4 linked regions of the Drosophila melanogaster genome follow. The protein of the gene in region 4 purifies or fractionates together with the protein of the main gene of each other region. This does not show direct contact. Each region holds a gene or a part of one and is shown on either strand. Other genes may lie near its edges.

Evidence for each region.
Region 1: the proteins of Gp210 (region 4) and CCT8 purify together in Drosophila melanogaster (affinity purification with mass spectrometry, with the first as the bait; one large-scale study listed by BioGRID). This does not show direct contact.
Region 2: the proteins of Gp210 (region 4) and RpS10b purify together in Drosophila melanogaster (affinity purification with mass spectrometry, with the first as the bait; one large-scale study listed by BioGRID). This does not show direct contact.
Region 3: the proteins of Gp210 (region 4) and Gp93 purify together in Drosophila melanogaster (affinity purification with mass spectrometry, with the first as the bait; one large-scale study listed by BioGRID). This does not show direct contact.

Annotation. Positions count from the first base shown.
Region 1 is NT_033778.4:8,904,323-8,908,947, forward strand, and holds CCT8 (chaperonin containing TCP1 subunit 8), read right to left. Parts: upstream 2,669-4,625; 5' UTR 2,591-2,668; coding exon 2,531-2,590; intron 2,352-2,530; coding exon 1,321-2,351; intron 1,257-1,320; coding exon 707-1,256; 3' UTR 522-706; downstream 1-521. Other genes in the region: CG30349 (uncharacterized protein), read left to right, coding at 3,269-3,574, 3,628-4,157, 4,213-4,625.
Region 2 is NC_004354.4:19,596,107-19,600,327, forward strand, and holds RpS10b (ribosomal protein S10b), read left to right. Parts: upstream 1-1,933; 5' UTR 1,934-1,971; exon of another isoform or gene 1,972-2,042; 5' UTR 2,043-2,099; intron 2,100-2,318; exon of another isoform or gene 2,319-2,326; 5' UTR 2,327-2,327; coding exon 2,328-2,810; 3' UTR 2,811-3,700; downstream 3,701-4,221.
Region 3 is NT_033777.3:27,946,728-27,952,690, reverse strand, and holds Gp93 (glycoprotein 93), read right to left. Parts: upstream 3,981-5,963; 5' UTR 3,830-3,980; coding exon 3,790-3,829; intron 3,708-3,789; coding exon 3,618-3,707; intron 3,521-3,617; coding exon 3,438-3,520; intron 3,350-3,437; coding exon 2,097-3,349; intron 1,764-2,096; coding exon 866-1,763; 3' UTR 540-865; downstream 1-539. Other genes in the region: CG4951 (uncharacterized protein), read left to right, coding at 9-216, 277-450; mfrn (mitoferrin), read left to right, coding at 5,381-5,497.
Region 4 is NT_033778.4:5,759,200-5,763,881, reverse strand, and holds the start of Gp210 (glycoprotein 210 kDa), read right to left. Parts: upstream 3,021-4,682; 5' UTR 2,975-3,020; coding exon 2,820-2,974; intron 2,749-2,819; coding exon 1,689-2,748; intron 1,289-1,688; coding exon 1-1,288. Other genes in the region: CG7791 (uncharacterized protein), read left to right, coding at 3,570-3,704, 3,769-4,298, 4,352-4,682.

The sequences.
Region 1 (4,625 bases), 3.1 Mb from region 4:
ATTCAACAGTTTTCGATCCAACGGACACTTTGCATCCAAACTTTTTAGTTATCCCTGAATGTTATTAGCCCGAGGACAGCCGAACCACCCAATGGAGCACGGATGGTTTGGTTTCGTCCTCAGATGTGTCATTTTCTATAACTTATCCATAGAGGGTAAATCGCATTTGGAAAGGAAGGGCATTAGATGCACACGTACTCAAAATCAATCATGGTCATCGAATACACTTTAACACCTTTCACTTCAAATGAAAAGCGACAACGAGATCGTATTTTATTCGAAAATTAATACAACTCTTTTGCGATGCAAACGGGGACGAGTCCTCACAAATATTATTGAAATGTATCTGCGAATAAGCATTTGAAATATTGTACTCAACAAAATGAATAATCGTTTGCTTAAATTTCAAAAATAAAAAGCGATAACTTACTTAGATTCGTTATCTAGCGGTGGCACCGGGTTCGGTGCGAAAACCACGTTGTTTTATTTCAAAGGCCCCCGAAGGATCACGCGTTTCAGTTCAGTTTTCGTAAGTTAAGTTTATTAATACAAGAAACTGTGTGCATGGCTGTGTATGTGGGTGAGTGTGAGAGTGGTTAATGAAATTTATAATTTCCATGGGACTCGTTTATGAAAATACAATGCACTCTTTGTGGGAGCGGGAGAAACTAGTTATAGTAGGGAGTACGAATCACAGAGGAGCCGCTTAACTCTCGTCATCGCTGCCGGCAGCCTGTCGCACCTTGGGACCTCCGGCGCGCTTGGCCATGATGATCTGGTCCACCTTCAAGATGGTTGCGGCCGCGCCAACAGCGTACTTGAGACCCCAGAACTTGGACTGGTACAGATCGAAGAGCTTTGCCTTCGTTGTGTCGATGGTGCTGGCCTTCTCGGCCTCAATGTCGAAGCCGATTGTCTTTCCGGCCTCGTTGTTGTGGGCCAAATACAACTGGTTGACGATTTCCGTGCCATTGATGCCGGAGTTCTCGGCCAGAGCCTTGGGGAAAACTTCCAGCGCATTAGCGAACTTGCGCACGGCGTACTGGTCCAGACCAGGCAGAGTATCAGCATAGGCGGACAGCTGGGTGGCCAACTCGATCTCGGTGGCGCCAGCTCCGGGCAGATAGCGGCCATCCCGGGTCAGGCACTTGAAGTTGTTAATAGCGTCATCCAGGGCACGCTCAATGTCATCCATGAAGTTGTCGGTAGCTCCACGGATCACCACGGTGGCAATGCGCGAGTCCTTGCCCTCGTTCCTGCAATGATTCAATAAGAAATTATAATGGTATTTTCTCTCGCTAATTCCATTGAAAATCCCACCTGAAGGCCACAATTGTGGTGTCTCCCAGTTCCTCGATGCAAACTTTGTCGCAGTAGCCCAACTCCTCCTGACTGGGCGTGGTGATGCGCGGCAGGACAGTGGCGTTTACGGATCGGCTCAGGCGACGCAGGTCGAACTTAGAGTTGAGACGCACGGCCATCAGACCGTATTTGTTAAGGAAGTGCAGAGCCATGTCGCCAACCTTGCCGCCGGCCACAACCACCTTGACACCTGCGTCGGCGATAGCCTTGATCTGGCTCTCCAACAGGCTCTCTTCGCCGGAGGAAAAGCTCAATAGCTCGTCGGCCGACTTGATCAGCACTGTGCCCTTGGTCTCAGTTTGGATAATATCGACGGGGCAGGAGAAAATCACGATCTTGGCCTTCTCTGCATAGGTCACATCGCCTTCTACGAAGCGCTTGAAGACCATGCCGCGAACCACCTCAGACTTGGTCAGTCCGCTGCCCAAGATCTTACAGATGCGAATGTTGTCCACGTTGAAGGTGCCCTCATCCGGCAAGATGGAGACGCAGGCCTTGCTCACCAAATCGTTGAGGAAGTCCTCCTGGCCGTACTGCTTCGACATGATCGATGTGCGGAGTACCTCCTTGACCTTCTCCACATTGCGATAGTCCTCGATCTTGTGGCTCACCAGATTGGGCAGAATCTCCAGAGCCTTCTCCAAGGCCTTTTCATAGCCGTCGGAGATCTCGGCAGTGGTGATTCCTAGACGCAGCAGCTCCTCAGCGGACTCCAACAGAGCTCCGGCCAGCACCACCACGAAGTTTGTACCATCGCCCACCTCGGCATCCTGCATCTGGCTGGCCATGACGATCAACTTGGCGGCTGGATGCTCAACATCCAGCTCCCGCATGATGGTGCCGGCATCGCTGGTCACGAACTGCTTCTCGATGTGATTGATGATCATCTTGTTCATGCCATTTGGCCCATAGGCAGAGCGCATGGTCTGTGCAAACTCCTTGCAGGCGCTGATGTTGCGGAACACCGCCTCCTCCAGCCCACTGTACATCTGAGGACACAAGTAAAGCCATTAAATTAGTCATTTTTCTTTCATATGTCGAGCCCCGTTCCATGAGGATGACTAATCACGCGCCTCCGCAAGACGGCATGTTTTCTTTTAAGCCGAATCTCAATGAAACCGATGCCCGGCGGACTCCTCGCAGAGTTATTCCTCCTTGTTGCACTTACCCGGGCGCCATCCTTCAGCATCTGCGACACACCGGGAGCCTTGGGAACGGATAAAGCCATTTTTTAACACAGATTTCAATTTCACACGGAGTCAGTCGGTAAATTCCAGCTATAGTTATAACCTCAAAGTGGCCGCGAACATTCTGGATGGGATAGCGATGGCACTTGCCTATCGATTATCGTAAACGGTGACTGGCGCTATTTTATTTTTATTTTACATTTGAATTGATCTTTTTCAATAAGGTAACGATTCTCAATGGTTTATGATGAATAGCATGCAATTAACAATATAGTTCAGCAGTGGAGTTTACGCCCCAAAGAATCCTGTAAATCGAGTTTATTTCTTGGTCTTTGAACGCATTTACTTAAATAATCCAGGATAATGTATATAAGTTACTCCAAATAAGTAATATTTACAGTTGCAAAAGAATTTACTCATTTTAAGTTTTGAGGAAATTTTAAAACAATTAGAGTAAAATATTTTATTATTTAATTTAAAAACTGAAAAGTTTATTTAAAAAATTCACATTCCCATTGGTTTATTATATTGTTCACTCGATGAATTTTGTTTGCATATAATTTGATAAATCTTTCAAGGGTATAGGAAACGTCGGTAAATGCAATTCAATCGTGAGTCGTGCGTGACATTTGCGTGATAGATTGCATTAAGTGCGACGAGTGTGAGCCGATGTAAACACTAGCCTTAGCGCCCATCTCTAATTCAAAACATAAAAAACGATGTCGCTGGGCAAGAAGCACGTGTTGGGATTTTCGCCCAATGGTGGCCAACTATTTGCCTCGGTGGACGAGTCGGGAGTTCTGCGGATATGGAACACAGAGACGAACACGCTGTATCAGGAGTTTACGCCCAATCTACAGTTATCCGGGTCGTGCACAGCTCTCACGTGGGTTTTGGTGGCCGGTTCCCGGCCCAAGAAGTCGCGGAAGAGCCTCCAGGCACAGGATGCAGCCGGTGATCAGCTTCACATTGCTCTGGGAACGTACAAGGGCTCAGTGGTTATATACTCATTAGCCGAGGGAAAGGTGAGTCGGACAAAGAGCCTTGAAGGCGAATAAACCACAAGCAATCCTTGCAGATTTCTCGAACGCTCAGTGGCGACAGCCATGATGGACCAGTGACCTCAATTACAAATGACAACGCTGGCCACCTATACACTGTGGGTGCCGATTGTAGGGTTGTTGTTTGGTCCTTGACGGACGAGCGCTCCATCGCCGAATGGCAAGTGGGACCCGAGAAGCCCCAAAATATAGTCTACCTTCAGAAAAGTGGCACCTTGGCCATTGGCTACCGACAGCTGAAGGTGTACGATATCAAGACAAAGGAGCTGGTGGAAACGTTCACCGGCCACTCGGGCGAAATAAACACAATCAGCAGCGTGGCGAGCACAGATGGCACTGAATTCGTTTTGACCACCGCGAAGATGGAGCGCGTAATCTGCTTCTGGAAGATCGACAAGAAGGGCAAGAACAAAGCCTCCGCCTGCACGCTCCTCATGGAGGACTTGGCCTACTGTCTAACCAGCGAAGTGCGCGACGATGGTCAGCTACGTGTGGCCAGTGTTACCCGCAATGGCATCATACACATTTACCTGTTGAATGTGAACAGGTGGGTCATGTGAATACACGTTTTGTCACTCGTACTGAAGTACTATGTTTCACAGTTTATCCGCAGAGAAGTTTGTGAAGCCCAAGGTTTCGCTGCAGATCGTTTCCGATGGCGCCGAAACAGTGGAACCACTTCTAGCCGTGGCGGCCCACTTTGTGACAGACTCAAATCGCTCCCACGAAATCCTCTTTGGCTACGGAAGTCGCCAACAGCTGCAGTTTGAACGTTTTACGCCCAACTATGGCGAGAAACTAAACGTTATTGTGCGCGCCGATCCCAAAAAGCTCTATGCGAAAAAGAAGGGAAAGGAGCAGCCGGGCTACCAGGCCGCCACCAAGGTCCAGAAGCCCATTGTAAACCAAAAAAATGTGGAGTACAACAGCGCCCTGCCCATCTCGCAGAAGAAAGTGCAAAACGAAGTGCCCATGGAAGCCCGACTAGAACATCTTAAAATTCAAGGAACCAAAC
Region 2 (4,221 bases), on a different chromosome or scaffold from region 4:
TCCAAAACGGGTATCAATTCATGCATAAATTGTAACGTGTAACGAAATAAGTTTATGGACAAGGGCAAGGGAGAAACCTGTACTTGCGGGTGCACGCTTTAAAGTCCGGCTCTAGCTCATGGTGTGGCGGTCTTGCTTGTACAAATACCTTTTCCCTACAGGCATTAATAATTAAAATCAAGAATTGAGCGTGCTTTCAACAACGGAATAGAGGAGCTAGTATACAAAATCGGAGGAAGAAAATTAATATTTTCGAAAGGAGGAGGAAGTTCTAGAACAGGAGGAATAGCTTAAGAATTGGTTGCCTGCGCAACACAGGTTTAATTATGTTCGCGGATTGCCCTATGCTATCTATGACCACTTTCATTAAAGGCATGGCTCTAGCGGCCCCTTTGGTACCCTATGTCCGATGAAACATCAGCCGAGTTCAGTATTTAAGTTTTTAGAAATTCATTTTTTTATTGCATTCATGGTGGTAACTAATAATTAATAGCAATATTTATAAGTAATAATAGGTAAGTAATAAATTAAATAAGTAAATAAATGAATGCAAACTAAAGTAAGATGAGGAAATATAAGGCAGTAGGTGTTAGTTTTTGCCGTAAATTCAAGAAAAATTTTATAAAAGGTATTCAAGAAAATTGTCATTAAATGGATGCGACACAGGTTGCTAAATATATTTTAGAGGAGAACCAAATTATTTATTTAAATTATCCCATAAACTTATGGTAACTTATGGTAAAGCCTTCTAATATATGATTTAAAAATATAACCTAATTTTTCTCAGTGCAGAATGGCGGTTCGGAGATTTTGAATTTTTCCGATGTAGGTTTAGGTCAGGAAGGGTTCATCCAGCATTATTTTATATACTATGTACATATATATTTCAAATTTGTATATGTTCACTTCATCAGGAACTTCTCACTGTGTAACCTAACTTAACCCAACTGTGCGCTTAACCTAACTGTACGGTTCTATTTTAATTAATACATTTTCTGTGTGCTGCTTCTTATCCTCTTCGGAATTTTCGATGGGAAAAAGTTAGAACCTTCGCGTCTACTAACAGATTACTTTTCGCCCCGATATCCACTAACCTGTGGCTGCCCCAGTCGAAACTTGGGGTCTGGGCGGTGGCGCCCATTATCCTGCTGCATAATAATGCTAATTCCTAAAGTTTGTCTATCCCGGGAGCTGTATTGTTTTACAGCTTTAGTGTTAAACCTACAGATTCTCAGAGAACAGATGGCTACTCATTCGTTGACTAGAAGGGAGGGCGGAGGGCCTTTGCTGAGAGACTCTCAAAATTGAAAGTTTTACCTGGTTCGTCGTAAAACTTTTTTTGTTTTGAGTTCAAATTAATGTTTTATAAATGAAATAATAAATAACTAAATAATAATAATAAATAAATAATAAATAAATAAGCTTATATAATAAGATCCATTTTAATTGTTTTTTCATAAAACAAAATGAGTGATTTTTTTTATAATTACAAATGAAACACTTGAATTACCGAAACAAAAACGCTTAACTGTGCCATCACTAATACTTATTGGCAATAAATAAGTGCGATTTTATGACAACAAAGACGTATCGATAAGATGCATGTGCAAAATGCGGTGTGTGTATTAACTTAATACTTGGCCTAAGGCTTATCGATAAGGATATCGATACTAAAAAGTCCGGCACCATTGTCGCTATCGAATGCCCAAGTATACAAGACAAGCTATGAGAACGAATATAAGGTGGTCAGTTTTAAGTAATTCAAAAAATTCTAAGTCAAAATGTGTCGCAAGTGTAGTTACTTGATTTAATCGCGAAATTTACTCGTGGATTATGTCTTAAGATAATATCGATATATTGCCGGCGTCATCGATTGCTGACACATATCGAAAGGTCCGGCCACACTGCTCACCGTCTTCTTCTTGTCATCCCTTCCGTTTCCCTTTCTTTTCGTCTTCACGTTTCCGGTGAGTGCGTGTGCTCCGCGAATTTTTAAGCAAAACTCCCTATTAAATACCTCCAATTCTCTTTTTTACTTGCAGCGGGAGTATTACGATACGTTCGCGTTCGTGTAACTTTGTGTTTGCAAATCAATCCAGGTAATTGTCGCCGAAAACCCCCATTTTCAAGCGGCCGCACCGGGAAAATATGCGCCCAATGTTGTTCCCGAATGCATGTGTACATTTTTTTTTTGTGTGGACAAAGAAGCGAGTCTTTCAGACTCAATAAACAATGTGTGAATTGGATACCACATGGATGATCTGTAGATATATCCTGGCAATGAACCGAATCTAATTGCTATTTTTTTTTTTTGTTGTTTGTGCAGAATGTTTATGCCAAAGGCCCATCGTGTCGCGATCTACGAGTACCTCTTCAAGGAGGGCGTGATCGTGGCCAAGAAGGATTTCCATGCCCAGAAGCACCCGGAACTGGAGTCGATCCCCAACTTGCACGTGATCAAGGCGATGCAGTCGCTCCACTCGCGCGGACTGGTTAAGGAGCAGTTCGCCTGGCGCCACTACTACTGGTACCTCACCAACGAGGGAATCGAGGAGCTGCGCAGCTACCTCCACCTGCCGCCCGAGATCGTGCCCTCGACGCTGAAGCGCCCTGCCCGCTCGGAGACCGTCCGTCCCCGTCCCGCCGTTGGCGGCCCACGCGGACCCGGTGACGCCTCCAAGACCGGAGAGGATCGCTCCGCCTACCGACGTGCTCCCGGCGGCAGCGGAGTGGACAAGAAGGGCGATGTTGGACCCGGTGCCGGAGAGGTCGAGTTCCGTGGCGGATTCGGACGCGGATCGCGCAACTAAACAACCCAGGCGCTTCAGTTTTTTTTTCTAATGTATAAAAAATTACTCAGTAAAATGTTCAACTGAAGATCCATACCCTTAACAATAGAAGAAACCAACATCTGAAAAATGTGTGTGTGTTTTATGATATGACGATCAATTATAAAGCAAACGCAAGTGAAATTCCGTGCTCCCCTCTATTTTTTTTTTTTGTTTTGTTTTTGTTGTTTGGTCCAGTGATTGTGGTGTGCAAATCGGACGTGGATTCAGATCCCAAGCGTGGCTAAATAGTATAGTAAACCCGATGCCCGGCCAAACTGAAACTGCTAACCCAACACATTTTTGCAAGAAGCTCTTCAGATAACTTTAGAAGTAGGATTTTGCAGATAATTCAGTTTATTTTGCGAGGTTCTGTCGAGAGGAAAGAAGGAATTCTAGCGTAAATACGTTTTTTTGAATACAATACATGCATTCAATTTTGGTAATTTCAAAAGATTGTTGTATATAGATTTGGATATTTGTCGATTTGTAGCTCTTTATTATAAAAATATGTGCAGAAATTCATCGCATTCGTTTATAGCTGTGTGCCAAAACATAGTAGACTTGGGTTGGAATAAACCAGTTGGCTCGAAATACTACATTCAAATATTTAAATAACATTAGAATCCAATTGCTCATAACAAAAACGGCATGAATTGCAAGGACATAGATTAAATTTGATTTACCATCAAAGGAAATGGTATATTTTCTAAACGATAAGCCAAAATCTTCGTATGTGGAGGAACGTAACTTAAATGCTCAATTTCGTTTTATTTGTTCACGCTACTTAAACGTTCACAATTAGTTAAATAACTAGTTTACTTAAATAGTCTTCTTTTGCTCACGAGCATCCTTTTGTTGTTCTGTAGCTGCCTTTTACTTATATATTAATTCTAATTTTATAAATACACTAGTTTCACATTTCCCAAAGTTAGGTTTTAGTTAAATCTTATGTGTCTACTAATATTATTTAAAAGCTTATGTGCTTCTCCATTTAACGTTGATTACTTTCAACTAATATTTTATGTAAACAAGTAAGTATGCTGCTATGCTCGGACCATAAAGAATTCGAATCGCTTAGATTATTTATTTAGGCCGACCAAAAGAACTACAACAATATACGACGAATGGCATTATTCTAGGTTTATGCCATGGCACATCGGAGTAGAAACATGGTTTGGGTAGTTAAGGTTATGTACATTCCTCCATTTAGCATAAATCCGAAGATACCTGGAGACTATCATTGCCTTAACATGGTTAAAAGAAGCTGGTTATGGACCTATGTTTCCCGCAAAAACGTTCTGCGCATCGCAACTGGGGCGCACTGCGCTGGAAAGTGTATTCGCTTGCAACAATAAAAAAAAAATCGCTTTGTATACAAAATAATTGTGGT
Region 3 (5,963 bases), on a different chromosome or scaffold from region 4:
TGGCTCAGACTCTTGGAAAAAATGGGCGAGGACGAGGTGCTGAATACGTTCGAAAACTATCGCAGCGACTTCGATAAGCTGTTCAAGGAGCGCGAGTTCAAGCCGCGCACCAGTCACTACATGAACATTGCCCACATGGACGTCATCGACATACTGAGCAAGAGCATTCACCAGCAGATGCTCAAGAAACTGGGCGAGGTCTACAGCAGTCGAAGCGTAAGTTTGGGGCGTCCTGGAGTGACACACATATCCATCCTAACATGTCCCGATTACCAGAACCACACGTCGCTGCTGGTGAACGGACTGCTCCCGCTGTGGATAGTGCGCCTCTTTATGGACACATACACGCTGTCCCAATCGGAGGCCGTGCAGCAGATCCGCGACCAGATGAAGTACAACACCTACTTGAGGGCCCTGAACGATGAGCCGCTGAGTTCCGATCTTGACTGATCGAGCAATCAATTCACTTTTTAACTATTTTTTGGTATCCGATTGCGGAAATTTTACATTGCGCGCCATATTAAATAGGCAGTTGTTTTAGTTTTAAATTCATTTGTCTTTATTTGTTTTGATTGGAATCTGTTGTGTACTAAGCATATTACATTGTATAAATACATAATTCACTTGCTTTCGAAAAAAGAAAACGCTTGAGCAACCAAGTGTGCTGGCTGAAATGGTGGAGTGCTCTCTGGGCGACTGGCGGTGATGACGGCGTGGGCGAAGGACTACGAAATTATTTTACTTAGAATCTAGCGTGTAATGTTGATGGAGTGCCCGCCCGGCCACCCGGTGGCGGTTTAAAACTCAGTCTGAACTTCACACTCTTATGTACAATCTATTTGGACAGTGGGTGAGGTGAAGTAGTTTACAGCTCGTCGTGCTGCTGCTCCTCCTCCTCATCATCGGCGTTGCCGCTCTCCTGGCTGCCGGTGGCGGTCTCCTCGGCATCATCCTCCTCCTCCTCGTCGAACTCCACCTGCTCGTCTTGGGAGACACCCAAGGTCTGGCGCATCATCTGCTCAATACTGTCGGCGAACTGCGAAGTCTCCTGGAGCATGTATCCAGACCGCAGGGTGGCGGTGCGGAACATCATCACAGCCATGTCCTTGGCGGTGTCATCGGCCTCGTCGGCCTCCACGCGGCGCAGCAGCTCGCGCATCAGCGGATGCCTGGGATTGATCTCGAGCGTTTTCTTCTGGTTGAGGTAGTAGGTGCGCTGAGGATCGTCGGACTTCTGGTGGGCGTTGGACATGGCCAGACGCTCCATGTTGCCGGTCCAGCCGAAGACGCCGGCCACGAGGGCGCATGGCGAGTTGCTCAGACGCTCGGAAACCTGGGCCTTGGAGATCTGATCCTTGAGTGCCACATCGTTCAGCCACTTGACCAGCGGCTCGAAGGTGCTCTTTAGCGACTCGAAGTTCTTCTTGCTCTTCTCGGACTCGTTCAGCTGGAATCCCTCCTTGGCCACGTTCTGGAACTTCTTGCCATCGAACTCGGGCAGCGCGGAGATGCAGTACTCGTCGACGGCCTCCACCAGATACAGCACCTCGTATCCCTTGCTCAGCAGACGCTCGACGAACGGCGACTTCTCGACCTCAGCGCGGTTGGCACCAGCGATGTAGTAGATGTGCTCCTGCTTGGCCTTCATGCGCTCCTTGTACTCCGCCAGCGAGGTGACGCCCTTGCCGTTGGAGGTCTGGAAGCGGAGCAGCTTGGCGAGACGCGATCGGTTGCTGGGATCCTCCATCACGCCCAATTTGATGCTGAAATGAGTCAATTAAGTCTTGATAAGCAACGAAAATCCAAGAATTCGAGGTTATAGCTAATGGAAATGCTTATTTAACTAAAATAAAATATTTAAGTATAAACTCTACACGTCACCAGTGCCAATATTATAATACTACGTGGATTTCCTTATCTTATCAGCGCGGAATTCTTTAAAGCAACAAACTAAATATATTAATTTGTTGGCAAAAAATAATACACGTCATTCTATTCTCCATATTATAATGGATTCTGCGGAAATGCTTATCATAAATAACTAATTATTTGAACAGGCAAAGAACGTTTCTTAATTCCTAGAAAGCGACACTTACTTGGTGGAGAACTCCTTCCAGAACTTCTCATACGCCTCCTTGTCGATCTTCTTCAGCATATCGAGAACCTTGCGGACCAGCTTCTTCTTGATCACCTTGATGAGCTTGTGCTGCTGCAGAGTTTCGCGGGAAACGTTCAGGGGCAGATCGTCGGAGTCGACGACGCCACGAATGAAGCTCAGGTAGTTGGGCATCATGTCGTTGAACTCGTCGGTGATGAAAACACGGCGCACGTACAGCTTAATGTTGTCGGACTTGGTGCCGTAGCGGTTGAAGGACTCCGATGGCTGCACCTTGGGCACGTAGAGCAAACTCTTGAAGGTCACCTCGCCCTCGGCGATGAAGTGCGTCTGGGTCAGGGGCTCGCTGGAGTCCTTGGTCAGGCTCTTGTAGAAGCTAGTGTACTCATCCTCGGTCACTTCGGCGGGCTTGCGCGTCCAGATGGGCTTGCTGTCGTTGATCAGGGTCCAGTCCCAGGTGGTCTTCGAAACCTTTTTGGTCTTGGGCTTCTCATCTTCGGCCTCCTCGACCTTGGCGTCCTCATCCTCCACGTCATCCTCGCTCTTCTCGGGCTTGGCCTCCTCCTCCACGGGCACCTCCTCCTCGACGGTCTTGCTGGACCACATGCGGATGGGGAAGTTGATGAACTGCGAGTACTTGCGGATGAGCTCGCGCACGGTGTCCTCCTCCAGGAAGTCCTGGGCTTCTTCCTTCAGATACAGCGAGATCACGGATCCTCGCTTCAGAGTATCGCCACGGGGATCCTCGGTGATGCTGAAGCTGTTGGCATCCGACTCCCAGATGTACTGTTTGTCGTCGTTGTGCTTGGTGGTCACCACTACACGATCGGCGACCAAGAAAGCGGAGTAAAAGCCCACACCGAACTGTCCAATCATGTCGTTCATATCGAGTCCCTCCGACTTGCTGGGATCCTGCATCTTGGCCAGAAAATCGGCAGTGCCGGACTTGGCAATTGTACCCAGGTTATTGATCAGATCCTGGTGAGTCATGCCGATACCCGAGTCCATGATGTGCAACGCCTTGTTCTCCTTGTCGGCCTTAATGCGGATGTGCAGCTCCGGATTCGTTTCCAGCTCCTTGCTGTTGGACAGAGCCAATAGGCGGATCTTGTCGATGGCATCGGAGGCGTTGGATATCAATTCACGCAGGAAGATCTCCTTGTTGCGGTAAAGCGAGTTGATAATCAGCTTCATCATGCGGTTGACCTCCGTTTGGAAAGTAAACTTCTTCGCCTGCACGCACAGACAAAAGACAAAGAAAAAAGGGAAAGGAAATCCCGGTCATACGTGTACCTTCCAAATGACCTGGCAATGAACCCACCTTCTCGCGAATTTCCTTCAGCTGCGCCACGTTCAGGCCGTCCAGCTGGATGGCCTCCTCCTCGCGCTTCAGGGTCTCGGCATCTGGGGGATTGGGAATTAGAAAAAGGGGGCGGTTATCGCAACGCTGACGTGTACCAAACAAAACTCGTCGTCGCGAGAGGGGGGCGTGTCTACGTACCGGTGCGGGAGCCCTCCTTGAAGGAGCCCAGATCAAGGTCGATGGTCTCCGTTGTGGCGGCCTCGTCATCGGCGGCTATTTGATTGATGCCTAATCAGACGCGAATCAGACGCCAATTAATAATTAGGTTAAAACACCGGTTCAATGCGGCGTGGCAAATGTGCACACTTACCTGCTAGGAGCAGCAGGCCCACCAGCAAAAAGTACTTCATGATCTTTGGTAGCTTGATTTACGGAGCTCGAGCTATCGGTTCGTCCGGCGAAAGGCCACGTCACGAATAACAGATGCAATAAATTAGTCCGCACTTGCGTCGCCTGCTTTGATTTTTTTTTACTGACGCCGACAAGCGGCTGGAAGGCCTTTAAATGCCTCGCAGAGTGACCGTATTCCGGCGCTGGAACATTCTAAGCGCATTGGAAGGAAATACCAGGGGCTGCACTGGAAATAGGATATATATACAGCACAGAGCACGAAAATAGTGTAATTTAAATAAATTTAATGTTTGCTTATTTGAAAGCCCATACATTCATAGAATCTATTTGGGATTTAGTTTACAAGAGGATGTAGTGTCAAAACTCTACTGTTAAATATATTTAATTTGATAATTTACATTCTTATATCAATAGTTTACAAAAGGGAACACTTAGGCCGGTAGATATATGATTTATATTTGAAACAAATTAGTATCTTTTCATGTATACAACAACTAAGCTTTAAAATAATAAATTCTTCGGTCGGTTGCACAACAACTTCGTGTATATACAATTTTTAAGCTGCCAAAATAGATAACTGAGAACTTATTGATATAGCAAAGTAATGATAAAAATATGAATTGAAATAAAATATAAATTCCTGACAGAGATCAAGGAAATCCATTTCGTTTTAGAATATATAACATATGATTTTGTACCGTTCGGTTTATTTTACAATGTTAAGTTAAATATTTTAATGTTGGTATTTTTATTTGCCATGGCGTTAAGGTTCCGCACCCACATGTGGGTGGACTTGTGCTGGTATTTTCACCCGAGCCATTTTGGTATTTTGCGACGTTCCCGCTGCGGTCACTCTGGGCACGAGGCTTGTTTATTGGGCGAAATTTAATGATTCGCTGTAATCATACAACATTTGCGTCAGTTGCCAAACACCGACCCAGCCAAAATTCCGCTTCGGCCACAAACCGACTCTTATATATTCATAAAACAACCGATCCGCAGCCGCCACTCCAGCAGCAGCAGCTTAGCCGCGAGCAACTAAACCAGAAATTGCTTCCTCGCGTGAATCGTTGAATCGGGGAATCGTCTCTATGTCGTCTGTATGCTAGTCGTGCAACAGCAGTGTCAATTAGCAGTTTCGCATAAGACCACCTCACGCGTACACTCTGCACCACCACCGCCACCGCCGCCGCCTCCGCCAGCAGCACCACCCCCCGAAATACACCCGCCCGTGCGTCCGTGAATCGTCGTGTTATCCGTGTTATACAACAAAATTGCACCAAAAGTGCCCGACATACGCCGGCCAAGAGTTGCCCGCTAACCAACGCCGATCCTCGACAGGCGGAGCGACCCGATCCCAGCGGAGAAAGCGGCTCTGCAGCAGCAACTGCAACAGCGACTTGGCAGAACTGGTCCGGATTAGCAGGTTGTCGTAAGAGGAGCAGCGACTGCAAGGGCGCAACCACAGCATTAGCACACAACACAGTCGATAGTGCAGCCCCACCAGCAGCCTCAACAATCGAAAGCGACGGCAACCGTTCGGATCCACCATGAACATCGACGACTACGAATCGCTGCCCACCACCAGTGTGGGTGTCAATATGACGGCGGGCGCAATTGCGGGCGTGCTGGAGCATGTGGTCATGTATCCGCTGGACTCCGTCAAGGTGAGAGAGACTGCATGGCCGCCTGGTAATCGGAGGAGCAGCGGCATGAACATAACACGACCTAACCTCACTATCAATCGGAATTTTGTGTGTGCCGCCGCTGCTTTGGCATAATCGTGATGTAATTGCCCACGTCTCGAGTGCAACCAAGAGTTGCGTTTCTCATTAAGAGCTCTGGGTGGTATAGCCACATATAGCCGCTCTGAACGCTTATCGTAGCACGTTCCATTGGTTTATGCTTCCGCGATAAGATTAGCCATAGTAATTGGACTAGCTCTTATCGGCGGAGCGTTCTCATCGTTCTTCTGAAAATTCGGTAGGGCCAACCAAGTGCACAAGTCCGCCACTTAAGCGTATGCAAATGCCCACCTCGTAATGACGTTCGCCGCAAGTATATACACATATGTATATGGTTATATGTAAATATGTACATATGTACACCACGCATTCAATACCTATTATTGAC
Region 4 (4,682 bases):
CCTTAATGCGGAAGTTGGTCGCCACTTCACTCAATGTCAAGACAAGAAGGTCGCGACTCGGCAGGGTAACTCCATGATTGAACTCCAATTCAGAAATCTGACGGTGCGGGATAATGTTCTTCTGGTATCGCTCTTCACCAGCGGAAAACTCCCAGTCAAGCCCTAGTGAGCTGATATTCATGAGCCTACGATTATTTGAATCGTGTACCTCGATTTCAATTTCAATTTTATTCTCTGGATCTTTCAGGAATAATAACGAGGTGCGCTTCTCCAGGGGGCAGGAGTCACGCAGGTTATGGCGAGCGTAGAGCTTTAGGAAGCGAGGACGGACGCAATGCACCTTTGTGGTCACCTCCGATTGATATAAGGCAAAGCTTGAGGTGGGAAGGCTATTATGCACTCGGTAAGTGAACTGCGTCTCGCCCAGCTCACGACACAGCACGGTGAACGCAGTTATCAAATTTTGCGTGTCGAACTCTAATTTAGACACTTTTAATATTTTTTCATCAAAAGCGGTAGATTGTATGATTTCTGCTGCCACCGTAAAACTGCGCTGCGGCCCATTAGCATAAATTATATTACGGGATGACCCAACGGGAAGAACAACCTCGTTTTCTATTGGATTTAGCACGACTAATGGCTCAAAGACATACAAATCAATAATGTCGTAAAGCACTTTGTCCATATACATATAGGAAACGCGTAGCGAGGTGGTGCCCACAGCGGTGGCCCGCAACCGAAGCACATGACACGCCTCGTGAGCAGCCTCCGCCCCTTCATTACCCTCCAACTGCAGAATGGGCTGGCTGAAGTCTAGTTGGAAGTGAAGATTATCACAACTTGTGTAGGGAACCTCTGAATTATTTATTCGAGCGTATACGCCCACATGCACGTGTACGAAGTCCTTCAGGGCGGTCTCAAAGTTGCTCCGCGTGATCTGAAGGCGCTCAGGGGGGAGAAAGTAGATATGTGCCACACGGGAAATTTTCTGGTTCTTGGATAGAGCCACCTTGACGGTGGTGTGGGCGGTCAGTTTACCACCATCTTTCAGTACCTCCTGGTTCACGTAAGCGGATTTCACGTCGCGGATTTCAGTTGTGGCTTGGCCCTGGGTGTCAATCTGGATCACCTGTGGATTTCCGGAGAACCAAGCGTAGTTGTTATCTCCGCCAGATGCATGAAACTGCAGCTTTAAAGGTTTTAAGCTGTTAGGATCGTATGGCAACACCACCTTGGTTGGCGCTAACTGAAGCTCCTCAAATATCTGAAGCTCAGCTTGTACCGACAGCTGCAACATAAATAACAATATTATAAGAACTTTTAATATAACAAATAGACTTTTGGACTATTATTTTGAGTTAACCTTCTATAAAAAATGCAAACAATTTAAAATTCTACATATCACTGCGGTTGACTTTATAAAAATAGATATTTATTTGACTTATTTAATATTTTATTTACTTCGTTATAAAAGAGGTGGGCAAACGAAATGAATTATTTTTAGCGGTCGGCAAGCAATAAAAACAAATTTTAATTAATGGCTTTTTTTTTGTTAGATAATATTTAGTTTTTAGAAGTGGACAAACGCCTAATTATATGATAATACCGCGATTCTTTTTAATGGGTTATATCTATGCACATATTTTCTAGAGTAATATATATAACAAACATTTTAGTTATAAACTTACGTCTTTATATGAGCCATACACCTGAGTGATTCCCTCTTTTTTTGCTTGACCGAAAAGGCGGCTTCCGTTGCGAGTACGATCAACAATGGCGAAAAAGGATTCATCCACCTCTGAGTTGATTGAATATTTAGTGCCCATTGTGATCTTCTGACCGTCGGCAGCAAAAAGATCCAATGCTATAGCGTGATGCTCGCCTTGTACTGTCACCCAATTGAGATGGGGCAACAGACTGATGGACAACCTATTCGGATATGCCACAGTCAATAGAGCGCTGGGTCCCTTTTGGACCTCATCAGAGTCCGCCATGTTGCGGTCTCGCAGAAAGACCTGGGTGCGACCCAGAGCCGCTCCGGTGGCACTGTTTCCACGAAGGTATGCAATGCTGGAGTCCTCCACCTCCAAATAATACTGATTGTTGTCTATAACGTGCAGTCGGTCCATCTTCAGCTGCAGAATGCGAAATGAGACGGAGTCTCCAGCCATTATGGTGACTTCGGAAGGCTCAATTATAATGTTTGCAAGAACGCTGATGTACACCTCAACTGGCCGCACATGCTTGTACTCGGCCTGAGGCATGGCGATGGTCACCTTGGCGGTGCCAGTATTAATGCCCTCAAGGAGGATCATGTGCCCCTTCTTGCCGTCGGCTTCAAACTTTTCAATGGTGGGCGGTACAGTGTGGTACGGACTGTCCGTGAACGTGAGGTATCGCATTGCGGTGGGCCTTTTGCTACCGGGTTCCAAAATCTCCCAGTCAAACTCGATTCCCTCCAAGGTAAAAAACTCGTTGCCTTGTTCATCAAAGGCGTGCAGCTCGAACATGGCGGGCGCCTCCTCCAGGTAAAGTTGTCGAGTGGCGGTGCGCACATTTAGACTAGCAATGACATCCACAATCACGTCGGAACGCAGCGTCTCGCCCGTTTGTACTTCCTCGGCGAAGACGATTGCAGTGTTCCTCCGACGATCGTGAGTGCGGACTGTCACCACCGCCTGGTATGCACATTCGCTGAAGCCCTTGTAAATGGGCATGACAGATATCAAGTCCTGGCGTGAGGACGACCTGCAAGTTCAGCATAGTAGTAGTAGTAGTTCTAGAAGTTATAAAATTATATCTGTATGACGCCGATTTACCATTTGTAGCAGTTCGGCTCGTCGACTTCCAGGGTAAAGTTTATTGCCTTGTCTTCGAATATTGGTAGTAACACACGCGGGTGGTTCAACCTAGCTGCCTCAGAAGCATGATTTCTTACCAAAATCAGCAAAATCATGCAAAGAATAGAATCCATCGTGCCGGCAAACGAGCCACGCGCGGAACGAGATGCTGGATAGGGATGGACAAGAATGACAATATCGCAAATATCAACTATCGATAAATTATATTATACGGGTTTCAAAAATACCAATATATCACTTATTATATGTGATGTAAATCATAATCAGTTGTATATCTGTACCTCAAGTTAAACGAAGACTTACATATTACGTATAACAGCTTTTTTTATAATTATATTTATTTACAAATAAAATTGGGTTTTTGCTTGTAAATATTTATCAAATAACATCATTTTCGGGATACCCTGCAACTCAGTCTTAATAGGAATATTATTCTTTTTGTATTCCTAAAATAGGACTCGCTTAAGCTTAATTAACATTTATTTTTCTGTAATATCTAAACTAATCCTAGTTAAACTGGTGACAGCTTTAGAAAAATACTGTTAACACAACTCAACTCTATACAGCTGCACATGCAGTTAATTGATGTCTGTAATCGAAAAGCAAAACGTCTGGCAACATCGGGTTGACTTCACCGGCAGCTGACTTCTCATGTAACCATTTCGTTATAAACAAGCAATTTAAGTGATCCGAAATTGGGGAAGTGCCATGCTAGAATTTGGTCGAACATTGCTGCGCTGGAGAACGCGGCACTGCAGTCGCAGAGTCTCTACGTGGACGCCGCTGGCTACGGCGTTTAATGCGCCACCGGCTAGGCGGATCAACTTCACCCACGACGATGTTGTAAGACCCAAAGTCTGTAAAACGCAGGACCTCTGACTAGGCATACATGGCCTTTTTCCCGTAGGGCCTCTTTGGCATGCCCGAACTGCGGAGTTTTGAGGGCTTCTATCTCCTTCGAGACAATGTGGAAAGCCGGACGCAGGAGCTGATCTCCGAGGCCACCTCCGATCAACGACGTCGAAAGATGGTCGACATTTTTGACGAGCTTTCTGACTCATTGTGCAAGGTGGCGGACCTCGCAGAGTTTGTTCGTATCGCGCATCCTCAGAGCAGATACACCCAAGCAGCAGAGCAGGCCTGCATAAGCATTTGCGGAATGGTCGAGAGCCTTAACACGCATAAGCCCATCTATAAGGCTTTAAGCCACGTAGTGGATCATGGAGATAAGCTGCCCACCAGCGAAGTGGACAGACATGTGTCGCGTTTGTTCCTTTTCGACTTTGAGCAGTGTGGAATTCACTTGCCCGAGGAGGAACGTATGCGTGTTGTGCGGCTAAATGACTATATTCTTCAGCTCGGCCAGAAGTTCATGAGTGGAGCTGTGCAACCTAGTGTTCTTCCACGCAGCCAAGTCCCTGAGTCCTTTCGTAACTAGTAAGTTCACATATAACACTATCTGGGCTATACTAAAGATTTTTTTTTGTCAGCTTTCCTACCTCTGGGGAAAATGTAATTATCACTGGACTGTGCACAAACGCAGAGAACGTTCAGATGCGGGAGGCTGCCTACCGGTTGTACCTGCAGCCGTCAAAGAGCCAGGAGGATCTTCTCCGAGACCTACTGCTTTGCCGGCATGAACTGGCGCGTAGCTGTGGCTTCGATACATATGCACACCGGGCACTCAAAGGTAGCACGATGGAGAAACCCGAAGTGGTACGAGAGTTTATCGACGAGCTGTCGGAAAAGCTGCGACCGCGCGCAGATTGCGATTTCGCCCTGATGTCACAAATGAAACGCCGTGAAGGCGGGAAGGCGGAT